Linked DNA regions of Mus musculus: all the other regions are reported to be linked to region 6. The links are microRNA targets in miRTarBase. Many come from high-throughput screens and were not tested one by one. Region 6 holds a microRNA gene; each other region holds the end of a gene's coding sequence.

What was found. The annotated mature microRNA mmu-miR-425-5p reads AAUGACACGAUCACUCCCGUUGA and lies in region 6 at 1,876-1,898, opposite strand. An mRNA with a match to its seed (bases 2 to 7 or 8) in the 3' UTR can be bound and repressed. Matches are read on the target gene's strand: a 7mer-m8 pairs with bases 2 to 8, a 7mer-A1 pairs with bases 2 to 7 and ends in A, and an 8mer does both.
Region 1: miRTarBase lists Cemip2 as a target of mmu-miR-425-5p. The part of its 3' UTR that is shown has no 7-base or 8-base seed match.
Region 2: the mRNA of Slc6a6 is a reported target of mmu-miR-425-5p. Seed matches in the 3' UTR shown: 7mer-A1 at 2,454-2,460.
Region 3: miRTarBase lists Zkscan1 as a target of mmu-miR-425-5p. Seed matches in the 3' UTR shown: 7mer-A1 at 1,416-1,422.
Region 4: miRTarBase lists Ptprg as a target of mmu-miR-425-5p. The part of its 3' UTR that is shown has no 7-base or 8-base seed match.
Region 5: miRTarBase lists Slc30a1 as a target of mmu-miR-425-5p. The part of its 3' UTR that is shown has no 7-base or 8-base seed match.

The regions. Positions count from the first base shown.
Region 1 is chr19:21,855,822-21,859,021 of GRCm38, reverse strand. Cemip2 (cell migration inducing hyaluronidase 2) reads right to left here. Exons shown (of 24, transcript NM_001033759.2): 24 at 662-2,867. The coding sequence ends at 2,671. Among named protein-coding and RNA genes, the nearest start is that of Cemip2, 79 kb to the right of the region's middle.
Region 2 is chr6:91,754,651-91,757,850 of GRCm38, reverse strand. Slc6a6 (solute carrier family 6 (neurotransmitter transporter, taurine), member 6) reads right to left here. Exons shown (of 15, transcript NM_009320.4): 15 at 1-2,937. The coding sequence ends at 2,794. Among named protein-coding and RNA genes, the nearest start is that of Gm44981, 34 kb to the right of the region's middle.
Region 3 is chr5:138,100,972-138,104,171 of GRCm38, forward strand. It overlaps Zkscan1 (zinc finger with KRAB and SCAN domains 1), which reads left to right. Exons shown (of 6, transcript NM_133906.4): 6 at 1-3,200. The coding sequence ends at 511. Among named protein-coding and RNA genes, the nearest start is that of Zscan21, 14 kb to the right of the region's middle.
Region 4 is chr14:12,237,315-12,240,514 of GRCm38, forward strand. It overlaps Ptprg (protein tyrosine phosphatase, receptor type, G), which reads left to right. Exons shown (of 30, transcript NM_008981.3): 30 at 413-3,200. The coding sequence ends at 559. Among named protein-coding and RNA genes, the nearest start is that of 3830406C13Rik, 45 kb to the right of the region's middle.
Region 5 is chr1:191,909,166-191,912,365 of GRCm38, reverse strand. Slc30a1 (solute carrier family 30 (zinc transporter), member 1) reads right to left here. Exons shown (of 2, transcript NM_009579.3): 2 at 1-3,200. The coding sequence ends at 2,611. Among named protein-coding and RNA genes, the nearest start is that of 1700034H15Rik, 3.2 kb to the right of the region's middle.
Region 6 is chr9:108,567,487-108,570,686 of GRCm38, reverse strand. Mir425 (microRNA 425) reads right to left here and starts at 1,910; the gene lies at 1,826-1,910. It overlaps Dalrd3 (DALR anticodon binding domain containing 3), which reads right to left and starts at 795. Exons shown (of 12, transcript NM_026378.3): 1 at 612-795; 2 at 242-537; 3 at 1-123. The coding sequence starts at 776. Mir191 (microRNA 191) reads right to left here and starts at 2,368; the gene lies at 2,295-2,368.

The DNA.
Region 1 (3,200 bases), not on the chromosome of region 6:
GTTGATGAGTGGAAACCCATCATATTTCGGGAACCCAGCCAAGTCCCTCACCTGAGAGAAAATGCGCCCCCGCCCAGTTGTAAATTACCTTGGAACACATTTTCTCAGCACAAAGAGAATGCAGTGAAACCTGGGCATTTGCCTGTGTGCCTAAAAAGCAAAGACCGCAGATAGAAAGGTACATTTGAAAAAGCCTTTTAAAAAGTACCGGCAGTAAGATACTTTAAGACTGAGAATCCTGTGATCAATGTAGGGAGGTCTCAAAAGAACATACAGACACGTGCAGGTGTTTTTTAATCACAACAATTTTTTCAGATGAAAGCTGAACAGTGGGGTTGTACGTACAGTGTTTCCAACATGGCTGCATGTTGGAATCACCCAAGGAGCTTAAACTTAAATTAATAAAAAATTAAAATGAAAAAAAAAGATATCACATGTCCCAGCTACACCCAAAATCAATGAACTCTAATCTGAGAGAAGCCAGTGGGATTCAGACCGCTGGGTTTTTTAGACCCTGCAGGTGAATCCAACATGCAATGAAACCTGGTCTCCCCCTCATCGTAAAACTTATTCCCTTTTAACTCTGCCTTACAAATCTGCTGTGTGAATGGTCAACCTTTCCTACTGCCACTAACTTCTTTAAAGCTAGAATCTGAGACCTCAGCAATTACAGAGATTCACAAATACACATACATAAAATACATGCACACACGTTTTTATTTATTTAACTTAGGCCCTAATTATTAGTACATAAAAATCAGAAACACTGAGTGCCTTGAAACTTGCATACTTTCTCCAAATATATATAAAAAAGGAACTCTAAAACAGCACAAAACAAATATATTTAAGTCATAACACACACACATCTGCACACACAATCAATTCACTCACCTTCAGGAACCATGACCCACTAAATATATTTAATAGGTAAGATCTCACTGTACAAAAAAAAAAGAAAAAAAAAAAGAATGAAAGAAAAAGAAAAAAAAATACAAACAAAAAACCCCACATCCAAAAAACCCGGATAAACAAGTAACCAAACTTTGATTAAGACACGTGCCCATCCTGTGAGCACTACAGTCCAAATGGTTTGTCACAGCACTTTGAGGTAGCATGTTCTGTAAAGTTACACAAGTCACAGAGCTGTCCTAGAATGTCTCCTGGACACAACATACAGGCATCAGCCTCGGCCCTCCACGGAGGAAGATGAACTTTTCTGCACTCAATTGCTACCGTCAGCCTGGCTATTCAGCCACCCGCCTTTGGGCAGCACAGCAGCATTCTGATGCCATCTTCCCTCTTGGCTGCAGAGCCAGCATCCTTTGCCACATGTGTCCCCACTGGCTGAAGAAAGGGCCAGTAGAAGCAGCACTGGGAGACCCAGAGTCCTTTCTTCTTGTCTTTGAAAGCTACATTCACTAAGAGACTCCCTCTTTTAAAGGCTACAAAGAAGATCATGTCCATTGCCTCCATGATTCCACCCTAAGAAGGCATCTCCTTTCTTTCCTTGAATACAATATTTATGGAGGAGCAAGCGGGAAACTCTCTGGGATTTTCTGGTAGGACAATGAGCAGAGCCGCTTGGAAAAAAAAAAAATCCACACAACAAGACAACAAAGCACAGGTACAAGACCAAAACCAAGGACAGGTTTCCCTTTTGCAAGTTAGCTTTTGTTGACAGAGTGATTTTGTTTTGTTTTGTTTTGTTTTGTTTCTTTTGAGACAGGGTTTCTCTACGTAGCCCTGGCTGTCCTGGATCACTACGTAGACCAGGCTAGCCTCAAACTCTCAGAGATCCACCTGCTCCTGGAGTGCTGTGATCAAAGGCGTGCACCACCACACCTGGCTTTCTTTTGCAAGTTCAAATGACAAGAGTTTTACAGTTTAGGAAGTGGCTTGCTGCTTTTAAAGAAAATTAATTCAGTTCCGCTCTGCGTTTTAAAGGTCAAGACAGGTTAAGGATTAAAGCTGCAGAAAAAGTTCCACCTGGATGCAAGTAATAGGTTTATGTTGTTGTTTCTTTCTTTCTTTTTTTTTCCTCAATGGTTACAGATCTAAAAAATTTCAAAAGCCCTTTTGTCCCAATAAGGTTCCCTCTTTGAAAGGTGAACCCTCAAAAGTAATCAGTATACAAGTGAATAAAAAGAGCACATGACCAGGCAAAAAGGACATGTGCTGGGCCTGAGTTGCCACTTAAAACCATATCTAGCATCACATAAAACCCTCGTGGGCTGTACAGAAATGAGCCCCAGACATCACTGAACAGGGCAGCGACTGGAGTTAGCGCAGGACTGAGCATTGGACTTCAAGTATCTGAAATGCTAGAGCAGCCAGTCCTCGAAGGAGCAAGTTCAAGGAGCCCTTGGACTCCCTGCACCCCACTATACAAAAAGCAAAGCACCCCCGATGTGCTTGTCAAAGCAAGGGCCACGAGACCAACTGCTCTCTGAACGCAGCAGCCTCAGGAAGACAAAAGGGCTCTACCACCTGCACAGTGCCAAGGCCTGCAAGCTGACACTCAGGTAACTGCTTGGATTCCTTCTCTCCCTTTTCTATCAAACAGGAAAATGGTTCCATCGGGTTAACAGTGTTGTCTTAAAATGCCATAAATTAAATAAGTTAGTTCACATTTTTTTTTTCTTTCCCAGCACTTAAATTACAACCAAGTCTCTAAAGCACTTTCAAAGCCTGCTGTAACAGGTCAAGGTCTCTTCTGTGGACACTGCCGGTCCGGGAGCACCCATATTCCTCCATCTGCAACGGGAGAAACTGCTCAAGCACTCCGAGGCCCTGCTCATCGGGACTGGTGAACAGCTTCGTCCATGACGGTGCGAAGTTTCCGCTGAATCCCAAAAATACGACACTACCTATAAAAAGAGAGGGAGAGAAAAGTTAAAGTGTATAGCTATTTCCTACAAGATAACGAGGGAAATGAGTCAGAGTTGAACAAAACAAAGACAGGATTTTTTATATTTATATGTGTGTATATATATATATAATTATAAATACAGATATAGATTTAAAAAAAAAAAAACACCTGCACACCTGCACTTCCTTACATCAACAATGAACTCCTGCCTCCCAAATGACAAGCCATATCCCAACACACTTTCTTTGACACAGTCCTTTATCAAGAAACAATTTTTACAATGCTCACTGCGGGCAGAGCTCATGAGAATAGTCTAGCACACAAACACCAC
Region 2 (3,200 bases), not on the chromosome of region 6:
GGCTCTTCACACTAGTGATGTCTTTGGCCCTCAGTTTCCTGTGGTACAACTTGAGGGGAGGGTGTATCAATTCCTAGTTCCCAAAGGCTTTGGAGGAGAAAGGAAGGAAGGAAGGGTGGCACGGGGCCGGGGTGAGCAGGGCGGTAAGGACTGGCACACGTGGGTATTGCTCTGTGTTCCATGAATATGGAGCAAGGGCCCTCATCAGCTCTGGCCTTTGGTTGACAGGGAAGGCTTGACAGTTTACTTAGACAATGCCCTGGACCTGCCTTCCCTCTACTAAGTCTTGGAGAACCTGAAGCTACAAATGACTCAAATGTCCAGTTCCACTTAGCTCACAGTGTAAGTCCCCACACTAGGCCTATTCTCCTGATTACATAAGTGCCTTGGATCAGGGCCCTCTGGGGCTGCCCACAGTGCCCAGCAGGGACCCTCCATTTGGGAGGTCACATCACTCTTAGGACCAAATAACATCTCCCAGGGTCTCCTGGGCCCACCTAATGTCCTCATCTAAACCAGGCAATGTCCCTTGCTTCCTGTCTCCATCTGACAGGCAGGACAGGATCTGGCCTGTTCCAGGCAAGGGCTGGTTGGTGAACAGCTTAGCCCTCTCTCCAGGAGGCAGGCGGACCAGAGTCACGAGCTCTACTTCAAAATGTTACTTACATGCAGACGTGAAAAGACAAGCATCACAATAAGGGTCATCAGGGGCAGGGGCGGGGTGAGAGTGGGGGCCACTGAAGACAGGTGAGGGGACACTGCTGGGGAGTGGGCTCGGGAGGCGGCTGGCCTTCCAAATCCAGGCAGGGCCTGGGGACTTGGCCCGCTGTGTCTTTGGTCTAGAATTCGATCTGGGAATGATTAAAAAAAGCCTTTCTCAGGCCATTTCCAGAATGGTGCCATTTGTCTGCCAACCCAAAATACTGAAGGCTCGCCAGAGGGGCGTGCCCGGTGGGGGTTAGGGGTAGGGTAGACGGGCATGACCACAGACACTGCCACAGCTGGACGAGCCCCCCTCTCCCTTACACTTCACCTGTCTTTCAGTCACCCACAGTGGTTACTTTTAAGGTTCCGTTGAACGAAAGAAAACCAGGGTACATTACAAGTCGGTAAAATCGGGGAAGGAGAACTCCAAACACTCAAAATAACACGAGAGCAACCAGAAATACACAGGACAACAGGAACACAGTACAATCATGGGTGGCTGAGTCAACAGCCACTGGAAGAGGATTAGAGGGTCACTTGGCAGAGTACATTGCTTTGGAGACAGGAAAAAATGTGTACATTTGTCAAAGAAGTTCAGGATGGCACAGTTGGGCCCAGTGGAGGCTGGGGTGAAGGTGTAGTGCCCTCTCCTGGTTCAGAAGCTGACATTGGGCAGCTCTGGAGTACTGACCTCACTTCTGTGGAGATAGCTTCAACTGACCGAAACTTCCCTTCGCCTTCCCTCTGCCGTCCCCTGGGGGCAAACGCCTGTCCAACAGCCAATGCAGTGGCTTGGAAATCATCTGAGGTCACTACCAAGCTGGCTCTGTACTGGAACTCAGATCCTTTAAGATCCAGGGTCTACAGCCACTTGGAGCACTCCTTGCTGGGAGCTGCTGGATGGTTCTGGGGTGGTAACTTTCACAAGAGTTTGTCAAGAGGCAAGGAAGAATAGTGCCCTCCTGGGGTACACTTGCCAGCCTGGGGTACACTCACCCTCCTGAGCTGCTAATATCATTTGGTCCACTGGCCTCCCTCACCCCGGGCCCTCACCAAAATACATTCTGCTTGGGGAATACTCTGGTCACCACCCACCATGACTCCACTCAAATACCGCAGACACTTCCTGAGTGTGACCCCCACTCTGAAGCCCCAGCAGCTCCTGTGGCCTGGCTTCGGGCAGCCATACTGAGTGTTCAAGAAAGGACAGGGATTCGGCCTACGCCTGCAGAGGCAGGCTCCCAGACCTGAGCCACATCCTCACCAGACATTCAGACGTCCCATCCCTGCCTGTAATACCCATGGTGGTTCAGCCAGTCCCACTGACTACCACCCATGTCTTCTTCCAAGTAAGAGGGCAGGCGTTTGGCCCTGGTACAACCGCTTCAGCTGCTCTGAGATCTATCATTCATGCTGAGGGTGGGCCAGTATTTTGGCATCTTTCTTGTTGGCTGAGGGTCCATAGCCCTGCTCTCTCCTGCCCCTCAGGTCTGTTCAGCTAGTGGGGGGGGGGGGCTCCCTCTCCTCAGCTGTGTTCTTCCTCCTGAACCAGCTCAGAAGGGACTACACCGTTCTTGAAGATGTATCCACTATCATAGGAAAATTCCACCCAGCATTCAGGTTTTTTTTTTTTTTCTCTTTTTTCATTTGTTTTTGGGCAGAACTTTCTGCCAGCTATATAAGCACCGAAGAATTGCTTTTGAAAAACGAGATCCATTGCTGGCAAGACCAATTCAAGTGGCAAAGTGTATGACAGACTCTAAGTATATATAGTTATATGTTAAAAAAAATACAAAGAAAAATTTACCAAGTTCCCACAAAATACATGGAAATCAATATGAAAGTCCATCCTCTTCCCCAGGACGTAGGCCTATGGGTTTTCTTTTTGTACAAAATATCCCCCAAACAAAACAAAACACACATATACAGACATACACGATACACATACACACACACATAGAGTAACATTTTCTGTGACAATTAAAAAAAAAAATCCTAGTACAAATATAAAGCTCTGTAAACCTGGTCCTATGAGAATCTAACGTTAGTAAACAGCAGGAAAGCGGCGCCTGTCACATGGCCCGGACCTCACATCATGGTCTCCACAATGACGTGACTGGGTTTCATGAGTGCGCCGTTCATGAGGGTTACTCGGGAGTGAAAGGGTGTGGCCCCTTCACGCTCCACAGCCCAGCGGTTGGGCTCCCTGGGGGTTATCAGGTATTTGATTCTCTGTGGAAGAAAGAGGAGCAGATCAGGAGTGGATTACGGAGGGTCCTTCCCACCCACCTCTAGAACATCCCAGGCATCTGCCACCCTTTCTGGCCCTTTTATGGATCTTTTCTAAATGGAGTGATCCCCCCAGCCAACCCCTGTATTCTTGCTTACAGACAGGGTACACACATGACCTCCACAGGCAGATTTCTTTCCCCTGAGGAGTTGAGTCCTATCTCCCCATGGTTTATTCTCCCGGGTTTCTCTGACTTTCTGCTTCT
Region 3 (3,200 bases), not on the chromosome of region 6:
CCATAAAATCATCCACACTGGAGAGAAACCCTACGAATGTAACGAGTGTGGCAAAGCCTTCAGTCTCAATTCAAACCTTGTCCTTCATCAGCGAATCCACACGGGAGAGAAACCTCATGAATGTAACGAGTGTGGCAAAGCCTTCAGCCATAGCTCAAATCTCATCCTGCACCAGCGCATCCACTCTGGAGAGAAGCCCTATGAATGTAACGAGTGTGGCAAAGCCTTCAGCCAGAGCTCAGACCTCACGAAGCACCAGAGAATCCATACAGGAGAGAAGCCCTATGAATGTAGCGAATGTGGAAAAGCTTTCAACCGAAACTCATACCTTATTTTGCATCGGAGAATTCACACCCGAGAAAAGCCCTACAAGTGCACTAAGTGTGGCAAGGCCTTCACCCGGAGCTCGACCCTCACACTGCACCACAGAATCCATGCCAGAGAGAGAACGTCAGAATACAGCCCAGCCTCTCTGGATGCCTTTGGGGCATTCCTGAAAAGTTGTGTGTAAAGCAGGAGTGTCTCGTCAAGCCATTTCCCCCCTTTTGTTTCTGGAATTACCTATGTACCCATCGAGGGAAAAGTAATAGCACCATCGAATTGTTTGGGAAGTCACACTTCAGGGTCTCTAACAGTTACATCAACCATGTCCTCCCTTCAGGAAGTCTGTAGACATGCAATTCTTAAAGTCCGTGTAAGGGAAAGCTGGCCGTGTGGATATTCCTGCACTCAAGATAAAAGCATGCACAGTAAACTGTCAAGCTTTCTAGTCATGGGTATACCTTTAAGGTTTGCTTCCCAGCAACCACACCATATAGTTGATGAGTCAAGATCAGCTCTGTGAATATTATACTGGTTAAGCCACTTGCTGCAAACAAACCCTAATTAGACAACTTGTATTTCACAATGAAGAGAGATAGTTAATACAAAAACTACATTGGGACATGCTGCTTGAGCAAGTTGTAAATCCAGAAGGTTCTATATCTGATCACTGGTAGCCTGCCAAAGCTATAGAAATCTAGGACTGTGTTGGTCAGAATCAAACCAAAGATTTCTATCTCTTTCTGAAAGAGGGCATATGCACCAGTTTATAGTTCCAAGGACTGTAACAAATGTGGATGGGCCTGCCCCCATCAGTGAGATCAGTCCTACTGAAATAGCAACAATTCAAGATGCTTCTCTTCCTCTTCAACATCCCTAAAGCACTCTAGAACGCCTAAATGCACTCTCCACAAATTAGCACTTGATTGTATACCATCTTTTCATCCTTCAGTGTTGGAAGCTTTTATCAATCACCACTCCCCCAAAAAGATGCTTCAGTTGTCAAGAAATATAGTTATGTTCCAGACAGCACAGCACTGGATGTAGTACTAAACACACACAAGGCACTCCTTAGGACGGACTTCTAACATCACTGTCATATTTGTGGTAGGGTCTGTAAATCATGTGAGTACCTGAACTATGGTACCTTCAGACCTACAGGACATGCTATAATGTATTCTGGACTCAATGTTATTTTGTCCTAAGTATAAACAAAGGTTGGTCAGCTACCTGCAGAGACTGCAAATATGGGTCAGTAAGTAAATACCACAGAGTATCAGAAAGGATTCTTGTCATCCACGTACAGAAGAAAACTATGAACACTAACTATGAAGTTTCTGTTTGTGTGACATCATTCCACAGCAAAGCTCTTGTTCTTGGCCAGAGTTCTTTTCAGTGAGCTGCTAAATGGTGGCATTTTGAGCACTTGCTGAGTTGTTCATCACTTAGCCAATCCTGTTCAAAAGATGTGAAGGGTTTTTGTTGTTGTTCTTTTGTTTGATTTTTTTTAAAGTTTTTTTTTTTATTTGTTTTATTTCTCAGAGAAAGGGAAAGTTTAAGGGAGCATTTTTCCTCTCACATTTAACCAGAAACTTGTAGAAGCATCTGTCATCATTAGCCAGCAGTAACTTAAGATGTCCTGTAGCTCTGAGAAGTTCACCACCACACCAGTGTGGTTGGTTGTGTCACTGTATTTAATAACACACAGTGTCTTTTCTGTTTCTCATGAAAGACTAAAGTGAGGAAGTGAGGTTAGGGGACTTTAGCCTTTCCTGTCATCTCTGCAGGTGGCTTCCCAGAAGCTCTTGATGGAGACATAACACATACAGGAGACCCCAAGTATCAAGCTATGCAGGTATTGGGATCTTGAACAGACAGCTTTATTTAAGGAAGCATTGAGATAGTGTGGACAGCCCTACAGAACCCTAGAAACATAAGCTAAAGACAAACTTGAAGACTGTTGACATGGACACCCCGCCTATGGTTGAGATTTCCCCTCAAGAAACAACTAAAATCACCTTGCACCAGTTGTTCACTGGTGACCAGCAGCAAAAGTCGGTGAGACACAATAGCAGCAGGTCTCATCAGGTTGGTACCTGTGACCTCTGTTCCAAGTCAGACTAGAATCCTACAAACAATCACTGGTTCTTGCTTGACTTTATTTCTTAGACCAATCCTAATCTCTGGCGGCATCTGAGCTGTTTGCTTAGTGCTGCCAGTGAGTGTTCTATCCATCCAGCTGAAAATCAACAGAGCTACTCTGAGGATTGCACCTGACTCACTTTCTGGAGTGAGGTGGAGATAAAGAGGTGCTTTTTAAGGTTCTCTTAAAGGAATGAGTCATATTAATGGTGGACTTTTGTGTGAGAGCTCTGGCCTGTTTGGTTTTTTGTCTTGTTTTGTGTTGGGTTTTTTTGTTTTTGTTTTTGTTTTTTTTTTTTTTTAAAGCAACTGAAATAAGGTACAGGACTCCAGGAGCACATCGAGACACTGGCTTTGATCCCAAGAAAGGACTTTGGTCATTTCCCTTTTGGCTGCTTATACACAGACAATTAACCACATGCTGGTGCACTTCAGCCGTTATTCTTTGTTCTTAAATGAAATTAAGACTGACCTGTGATCCCATCCCTCATTTGATTTCCATTTTACTGGAACGTTTTACTATTAGATAGTCACTGGGATGGCTCCAGATCTTCCATGGATGCAGTCCTGGAGGCAGCCACCTGAAAATACATTTTACTTAGAAAGCTGACTATAGGTGGTTATCCAAATTTCTTAGATGCTCAGCAGTGTCACTGCATCGTGGTCAAATGTGGTGACATCTGTCGTTAGTGCTCAGGCTAGTTAACAGCCTAAGTGCTTATTAGTTAACCATCAGC
Region 4 (3,200 bases), not on the chromosome of region 6:
GGCATTTAGTGTGTAAAGGCCAAAGCTACTGGAAAACACCCTACAATACACAGGCAACCCTTGCCAACACAGAATTATCTAGCCCAGAATATCAGTAATGTTGTACTTAAAAGGTAAAAAAAAAACCCTCTGCTTAATAGTAGTGTGTGGTCTAGTTTCAAAATAAGGATATTCCGTTATCTTAGGGAGTCACCAACACTGCAACAGATTCCATGCTAACAGACCAGCAGGACATGAAATGCTGTAGAACTCAGTGATTAAGGCTTCAAGTGGTTGCTTTTAAAGTTTCTTAGATACAATTTCTGCTCTTCTTGTCTTTTGGGGAGTGTTTTTTTTAGAAGTATATTTTTGAGTAGTCTTTCCATCTTAGATTCAATCAATGTCTAACCAACTCTTTCCTCTTGTCTTCCAGGAACAATACCAGTTTGTCTACAAAGCAATGCTCAGCTTGATCAGTACTAAAGAAAATGGAAATGGTCCCATGACCGGGGACAAAAACGGTGCTGTGCTAACTGCAGAGGAATCAGACCCTGCAGAGAGCATGGAGTCTCTGGTGTGACTAGTCCCCTGGAAGGGCACTTCATTTGTAAACTTCTGAGACTTGTAAAGACAGAAATTTTTTGAGGCCTTTTTTGCCAGACTCTAGGTTATACAATAACCCAGTTACTTTTTTACACTGATAAAAGTTTTGATATTTATTTTTTGCCATTTTCTGTCTTAATGGTATCCTACTGAGCATTTGCGCCTGTTCTTCATTTCACACAGTGAAACGCAACTTTACCTAGTTTGCACTATATGATCAGTGTTAACTGCCTATAATCTAATACTACAGAAACCCTGATGTGACATTCCATGACCACATACATGCTATTTTTTAGTTCCGTGCAGTGAAGGTCTTTGTTATGACAGTGAATCTCAGTTTTACTATTATTCTAAAGCAACTACAATTTCTTAGCAGGCAACAGTGTACTTTTCTCAGTCCCCTCTATTTTTTAGGCACTGTTCAATACTACATGCCTTCTGTTTTAATGGAGTGGATGGGCGTTGTCTCCTTTTGCAGGACAGCAGGTGACTGGGAGCCCTATAGATCTGTTGGCATCAGTTCCATTTGTAATGGTTGAGGGACCACTAAGAAGTTAAGAGGGCTTCAGAGTTACTTCATGTGAACATCTCTTATTAGTTACCAAGTTATATTCACAGTTGAAATGTGTCAAAATAAAGAATCATTCTGTATTACAGATTTCACAGTAGCTATGTGGACAGTGTGTGTTATTTCTATGTTGACTCTCTGAAGTAGCAAACCCTAAAATCAGGGCTGTCTTTTACAATGGGAAGATGGCCTTATTTTACACAATTTACTTATGACACTCTTTAGTTAACTCAACTATAGCTTTTTGGTAAATAGTACCATAGTAGCTACAACCACAAAATAGGTATTGACATTTAAACGTAGTCTTTGAAAAGTCCCTACTAACTACTCCTATAGCAATCTAATAAACACTACCTATAGACAGCATTTTTTTTGCCAAATGTTTCATAATAAATCTCTTAATTACATCCAACTCTACTTAAGATTGAATTGGAAATATATTTGGGAGTCAATTTTTATAGGTCTTACTTTGAGAAAGAAATAGGAATCTTAAAGAGAAAATCCAGTTCTTGAATGAAAGATGGCATCTCCATTTTAGACTGGGTTTTAAGGAAGAGATGCGGATGCTCACAAACAAATGTACATTTATAAAAGATGGCAGTAGTCATTAGGAAGCCCAGAGGCCAGTGTCTGGAGCTACTTTCAGCACGTAGTACATATGGGCAAACTGGAAGCATTATTTCGAAATTTCACTTGAGTTTGTTTAAAACAAAACAAAATCCACTAAGCTATTAATCAGGATCTGTATCTTCCTTCTCCTCTTTGCTTTTGAAAGTCAACTTCTGCCAGAATTGAAATCCCCCAAGATTGGTTTCTTCTTTATGACAAAAGCTTTCTGAAGAGGAGGGCAGCATCTCAGTGTGAATGCGGCTTTATTGTTCGTGGGTTGTTTTTTGGAACTAGTCACAGAAGTGCTGGAGAGCCAGAGCTGGTAAGGAGAGAGTCACAGGCCAAGCCCAGAGCTTTCAACGCATGGACCAGGCCAATAGAGCCCCATGAAGATAGTGTGTGCACAAAGACCTAAGAGAACACACAGAGAATTGGGAGGCTGGCTTTCAAAACTGGTGAGCAGCTGAGCCGAATCCACTAACATATCTGTGCTAGATGGATTTACCAACCCCTGCAGCCCCACCAGAGGGGTCACCTCTGCACAATACAAAGGATTGACCATAAGAAACATAACTCTTAGAGGCTGTGGGAAATAAGGAAGGAAAAGGTTTCAGATTGTGGTATGAGCTTCCCAGTCAATCGAGCAGATTCTTTTTGCTGTGCACAGATCTGATCTTAGCTAATGCTTTTCAGTTAGATGCTCAGTGGAATTAACATTTGAATTGGAGTTCAGTCTCTCAATTGTCTCGTAGTAAAAATAACATTGTCTAGAAGACAAATGGCAAGTATTACTTCTGTGCTGTTTACACAAGATTCAATTCATGAAAATGCATACTCTACAGTTCTGGGGCTCTCTCTTACACGAGTGAAAGAAGAATGGGAGAAAGGGAGAAAGAAGTACAACAGAAGTACAATCAAGGCGGGGGAGAGGCTTCCTGTGGGCAGCCTACATGTCTACAGCAGGCTTGAGCCAAAGCCTACAGATGCCAGCCTACTGGACTACATGCAGTTGCTATGTGCCCATTTTGCCAAAGTGGTCCACACGCCCTTTACTGGGGGTGATAGTTACCTTCAGCTCTCTTCAGTCCTCACATTCACCACAATTTGTATGTTCACTATTCTTTGCTATTGGCAAAAATGTTTTTGCATCTTTCCAGAGGCAAAGAGTTCCAAAGATGTTTTCTTTGAGACATAAGCACGTGGCTTAAGTATATAAGGTTAGTACTATTTACAGTCGAGGGAAAAGATATAACTATTGGTAAAGCTAGTGTGAAAGTTTATGAGATATGCTGGTTTTATGAATTTACCTCTAGGGAAATGAAATATACAAACCAAATGAAGCGGAATTGTTATAATTTGATCAGGTGGATGTGCAGGATATCACAGATGTATTAGAGACACCCGAAAAGTTTCTTGTACCTCAAACCATAATATCATCTTT
Region 5 (3,200 bases), not on the chromosome of region 6:
TAACAGATGCTGACAAGACACACACATACAAACAGCCTCCCGAGACCCTCCAAGGTAAACTTGATGGAAACCCTCCCTGCTCAAATTATGCCTCTTAGGATAAAGGTACCCAGCATTTTGTTTTGGGTGTGAAAATACAGTAAAATGTTCCAGAATTGTTTTTCATGTTCTGGCTTGTCCATCTACAATGTAGATAATCCACCCCCAACCCCCCAGAAAAGAATTACTCCCACAAGGTAAAAGCTGACCATGGGAAAGCAAGTCCATTGTTCCAAGGCTGCACATGGCTTGGAAGGATCCTGTTTGAGTGTATGCTTCCTCACTCAGCTCCACACTGACCTGGCTCAAGTGAGAAGGAACCAGGGAAGCCTCCCCCTACCCCAACCCCCACCCCAACCCCCCTGCAGCCCTGACTTGGGAGAGGAAGCACATTTAAACAATGGGATAGTCCCCAAGAGGCCAAGGTAGCTCCTCATTTTCTTTCAAGAAATATGCTATTTTTGGAAAAGACACTCAAATCCCACAACATTTAAATATAAAAACATCTTTTCTTCTTAAAGATAATGCTAATATAGCTAAAAAATGGGTTAGAAAGTGCATTGTAAAGAAATAAATAATTCTCTAAAACCTCAAGGTGAGTTGGCGCCCATGGACTTTGCTGTAACAAACACCTTTGAAAAAAAAAAAAAAAGCCTACGGTACCACTTTTATACATAGAACCCACTTAACCCAGGCCACCACCACCTTAAAGCACTTCTGAAAATCAGACTGACACAGCCCTCCTCCCCATGACATAAACCTGCCCAGAGGTTCTGAAGGCCACCTCCTGGATGGCCTCCTGTACCCCTGTGGAAACACTGAACCCTTCTGCACAGTACCATCCGAGACAACTGGAGCTCCCGCTCACACCACTCACAGAGCTCTCAATTTCATGTTTTTTTTAAAAAACAAATGTTTTGTTAAAGTCAAAGTAACCACCTGCCAAGGGGTCAGATCACATATTAGTCAAGTATTATGTAGGTTGAAGGTTGGCCCAGTGTAGTAAATGTGAGCTTACAAACTATGTTCCAAAAATTACATTTCTTATCAGAAAACCCAGCTGTTCTTATGTAGGCCCATTGCCAGCAACAGGCTTATTACACTAGGGGAGCGACCATTCCTTAAAGTAACTGTCATACTCTAACACTTCCATTTTCAGATTATTAAGCAATGAATTATTTCAAATCCCAAAAGTTAACTTTCCCAAAAGTAGTCAGCTATAAAAGTTATTGAAGTAGTCAGAATACTTTGTTCCTAGAAAAATAGAGCTATACATAACTGATATTAATAATCACTCTTTTGAAGACAAAAATCTACATTTCCTTCACAAAGCATTAACCTTTCTGGAAAAAATAACTTAAAAATCTTCAAATGTCTGCGTTGGATTTGAAATCTGTGGCAATGGAGCAGCCGTGAATGACTTCCTGGGTGCAAAGTGCAGAGTCCTGCAGAGAAAGCACTTTGCAAGCCAGCATGCCAAGGCACGGTGGCTAAAGATCCAAGCCTTCCTCTTACTGGTTTTGCTTTCTAAAGTAATATCCAAATTGCATGAGCCATGTGATTTCATTTTTAAGTCACTGGCTCTTGGCTAAGCACACACTGTGTTGGCTGCCCATGAAGAAATGTATTCATTCCATCTGATGGGTCACTATGGAAGTTTCTTTAAGACATAATTTAAGATTAATAGTTTGCAGTTAAGGAGCCAAGACAAGCCTGCATTCTCAAAAAATACTCATGCATTTAGAACCATTTAACTCAATGTTGCTAATACCAGTCTTTGAAAGAAAGCAACACTGGCAAACATGTTTAGACTGACTTTGGTAGAATAAAGCCATTAGAGATTTTCAAGATACTTTAGAGCTATAATCAGCATTATTACTGTGAAGTAACGGACGTAGCTGTAGCTTGCCTTCCTCCCTGCTCTTAGCCCCTATATGCTCCACGATGTGTAACTACAACTCATCTTGTGAATTATCTCAGAGTTTACTAGACTATTCCTCAGCAGCAGAGAAAACAAAGTAGTAACTAAACTGACTTTCTGCTAAGAGTCATGACTCTGGAAATATGCTGCCATTATGGTCTGTTTATGATCTCAAAGGGCAAGCAACCATCCCCTCAAACATCAAAGGAGACAAACTTGATGATTTTAAAGGCCTAGCAATTATAATCCTAACAGATAAGATATAGCAATGGGGGGGGGGGGGGAAGAAAAGCAGAGAAATTCCAGTAACAATTTTATTTATCCCCCTAATTTTTATCATGGGAAAACCAGGAATCAAATTTCATTATGTCATATAAGATTTATACTTACTTTAAACAAAAATGTAACATAGTGTTAAAACTGGCTTTCAAACGTGTTCCAGCATAGCTGCACTATGCACTAAGAATCACAAGGCTGCAATGTAGCACTCTCTATTAGGCAGTTCCATTATGTTCTTACAAAAATAGAATTAAACTGTGCGACCAGACAAGGACTTCAATTACACTACTTGGCAAACTTAGTATTTCAATGGAGTCTATTTTCTCTTGCAGTTTAAAAGCAAAAGTCAAATATCACATCTTTTTCAAGACTCACAAAGATGATTCGGGCTGTTTGTTTGGCACGTTTTTAATCTCTATCACCACAGCAGGGAGACTGCCTTCAGCTTTAGTCCTCCTGGCCTTCTTCTCTAGATTCTCACTGAGTTCTAAACAAGAAATGCTAACTGTTGGCGCCTTCTCTGCATCCTTCCCAGAATGCACCTGTGGCCGTGTCCCGCAGCACTGCTTCAGGGCACACTGAGTTCTGCAGGCGAGCTCACACGGGAGCACACTTGACTTAGAGCCGACGCTAGCGAATTCAGGCTGGATGGTGGTAGCGTGGATTCCATGATTATGAAAGACATCTTTAATGGTCTTGGCCACCTGCATGTAGGAAGCGGGGTCCTCACATTTTATGTGGGCAGTGGCGATGATCCTGCTTCCCGCCAGCTGCCAGACATGTAGCTCATGGACTTCCTCAACGCCGTCAACGTCTCGAAGCTCTTTCACCAAGTGTTTGATATCGATTTGCTTAGGGACAGTTTGTAGAAGAATGAGAGCAGACTCCTTGAGCAATGGGTAAGTCGTGTACAGAAGTATACAAACCATTATAATACAAAGGGTTGGGTCTAGGTAGAGCA
Region 6 (3,200 bases):
ACACAGGTTCTCAGTGTTTCGGTCGAGGTGCTCTTCGAGGCAGTGGGCCATTCCACCCGAAGTTTCTGGAGGAAAGTTGACATGTGAGGGTCCCGCACCGGGGGCACTGAGCACACACGTACCCTGCAAAGCAAGGGAGGCTGTCTCAGCCTGCGGACCAGGCTTAGATTATCATGACTCCCACCTTTTCTATCCCCAAATGTTCGGTCTTTTGCCATTATAGCTTCGAACACGCACTTACCCATGAGCACGCAGTACCCGTACTAGATGATCGGCTACGAGCACGGCACGCAGCTGGCTCAATCGGAGCGTCCCCGAATTACAGCGCAGTGCTGGGCAGTGTAGGACAACTCGCGGGCCTGGTGAGGCAGGTTTGGCGGGAGTAGCATAGGAGGCCAGGGCACCGAGTACATGTTCGAAGACAGCGGGCCGCTGTAGTTGGAGCGATAAACCCGCGGGTGTCGGCGCGCAGCGCAGTACAGGGGCCACTCCGGGACCCTGCAGGCAGGAGACCGCACGGAACACGCACTCTGGCACCTGCAGGCAGATGTGTGTAAGTGGGCCGTAGTTCCGTGGATCCCGCTAGGCATGCCCCACAGGAGCGCACCCACCTGGCCGTCCCTGAAGCGCGCCTGTAGCGCGCTTCGCGGTGCCAAGAAGTCTCGAACACGAAGGTGCCGGGCATGGGTTTCCTTAAACCACACTGGGCTACCAGGCCCTACAGCTGCATTAAGGGCCTCCAGCGTCTCGCCAACCCCAAGGCGCCCGGTCGCCATGGCGACCGGAAGACTAAATGGAACAGGAAGTAAGTTATCCGTAGAGCTTCCGGGAGGTCCGCCTGGCGGGGGCGGGGATCCGGCCGTGGACTCTCCTGAATGGACCAGAGCGATCGAGCATGCCAAGTGAGCTTACATTCTACCCACGCCTCCAGCTCTCCCTCCCGATGGCCTTTCCTGTATTCATGAGCCCTAACCTCCAAATTTGAGGGTCCATTTTTCCTCCTTTTTAAAAAAATCGTCACCCCGAATTATTACTTTGATAACGGATCTTTGTTACCAGGCAAGACACTTTGCCACCAAAGTTTCACATCTTTGTGTTTATGTCTCTTTTTTCTTTTTCTGCCCCATTTAAACAAATTAAAGGCCAGACGCACGAGACGAAATGTCAAAGGAATAAGGCTGTACCATTAATGACACTTTGTTTTTCAAGACAGGGTTTCACTGTGTAGCCATGGCTGTCCTGGAACTCTTTGTAGACCAGAAAGTCCTTGAACTCAGAAATCCACCTGCCTCTGCCTCCTGAGTACTGGGATTAAAGGTGTGTGCCACCACTCGTGTCTTCCATTAAAGACTCTTTACCGCCTACTTGGAAAAGTAACGAAACAAAGCAAAATTTGAGTTCTGATTATTGGTACGCCTTTCCTCGGCTGCGGTATGGAATGTCTTTATTCCCAGTAAAAGCCCAATCGGATAGAATTGCCCATCTTGATACCCGAGGAATTAGTCATCATGATTCCAGGATTACCAGCCTTTAATGTTTTTCCTTTAAACTGGTGTTACCGGCACCTTTGGTTCTTTAGGCAACTGGTCAGTTTAAGACAAATGTGATGATGAGAAGACCCAAATAAGCAGAGCTCTCAGGTAGAGCAAGCTGCAGGTGAGCTTTTCTATGTCCAAACTCTTTCGTTTCCAAGTAACGTGAAACTCCACTTCCCCCAGTAATGAATGAATCCAACCGGTGAACTTTGCTCCGGAGAGGAGTGACATCTAGAGATAGGAAAAGTTCGGGAAGGCCGGGGCTATGAGGCCCTGTTTGGGAGGTGCCGAAAGAGCACTGGGCGGACACGACATTCCCGATGGCTTCTTGGGTGCCCACTCAACGGGAGTGATCGTGTCATTCCAAAGCACTTTCCATGCTGTGGTGTGGGTTCAGCTGCTAGCAGGGCTGGGACCCACCAGCAAGTTGGTGATTTTAGCTACTCTCCCTCCATGAAGACGGTTGGGGTGGGTTTTCCCCAGGAAGTGAAGATCTATCTTTAGCGAGCTGCGGGCTGGGCGGCCTTGTGGGACTCACCGCCATTGCGGCCCTTCAGAGAGAGGACCCAGGACCTCCCTGGTCAGAGTTCTCCAGGGATTCCAGACAGGGCCATCAGCCCGAGCTTTTTTCGTCGCCTCTGACTGCCACCATCAGTCTGGGGGTGCACCTGAGAGATGGAGATCAGAATGGCCCAGTAGTGTAGTGTTTCTGAGAATAGAGACCACATTATCTGGGCCAGGGCGCTGCTCAGGCAGGAGAGCAGGGAACGAAATCCAAGTGCAGCTGGAATGCTCTGGAGACAACAGCTGCTTTTGGGATTCCGTTGCCCGCTGTCCAGCCATTGGAGGAGGGCTCTTGCTCCCAGGTCACTCGCCCTGAGGCCAAACCGGAACCCGCCCATCCCTTCCCAGTGGGCTGAGTAGGAAGGAGTAGGTGTTTTAAACCAGTCTAGTGAGAATGAGACGCTCACCTGGGCCCCAGAACAATAGAAGGTGGGGGCATCCCCCGGGACGAGGTCCTGATCCGGATTAGATCAGAAGGGCTGGATTAGCCCTGTGAGTCCCAAGCAGGAGCCACTTGTACCGGGCAGGCTTCGGAATCCGTCAAGAGGGAAGCGATTCCGTGAGACCCGAGAGGAAGTAAACCCATGTGTCCACTTCTGGGACTCCCCAAAGCTTAGGACCTTTTGTCTGGTGACGGTGCCAGCTCATGAAGTGCCAGGGGCCAAACTGGCCCACATAGCAGCGGCAGGACAGCCTCCCCCCAAGCCCATTGCAACCGGCCCTGCAAAGAACCCCACAGCCAAGCCCCATTTGTGTCAAGCATCCCACCCGTCTAGTCCAGCGGATAGAGAACGCGACAAAGTTCCTCTGAGGCCAGGACAGAACCGGTGCGCAGAGATGCCCATGCCGCGGGACGCCAAGGACTCATGCGCCAGTAGGCCCTAGACTCAGCTCAAGACAGGGGGAGGGAGACTCTCGGTACGCGCGCGCAGAGCGCGCAAGGGCGGGGTGGTGCTCCAGGCGCGGTCTACTTCACGTCTGGTCCGGTTTGGCCCAGTCAGTCCCACTCGAACAGCTACTCCAGCACTGCCACGGCGTGCCCTTCCGCTGGCTCTAGCTGTCCCCAGACTTGGAGCCATTTTAAGGAGAAACCATCTGGCC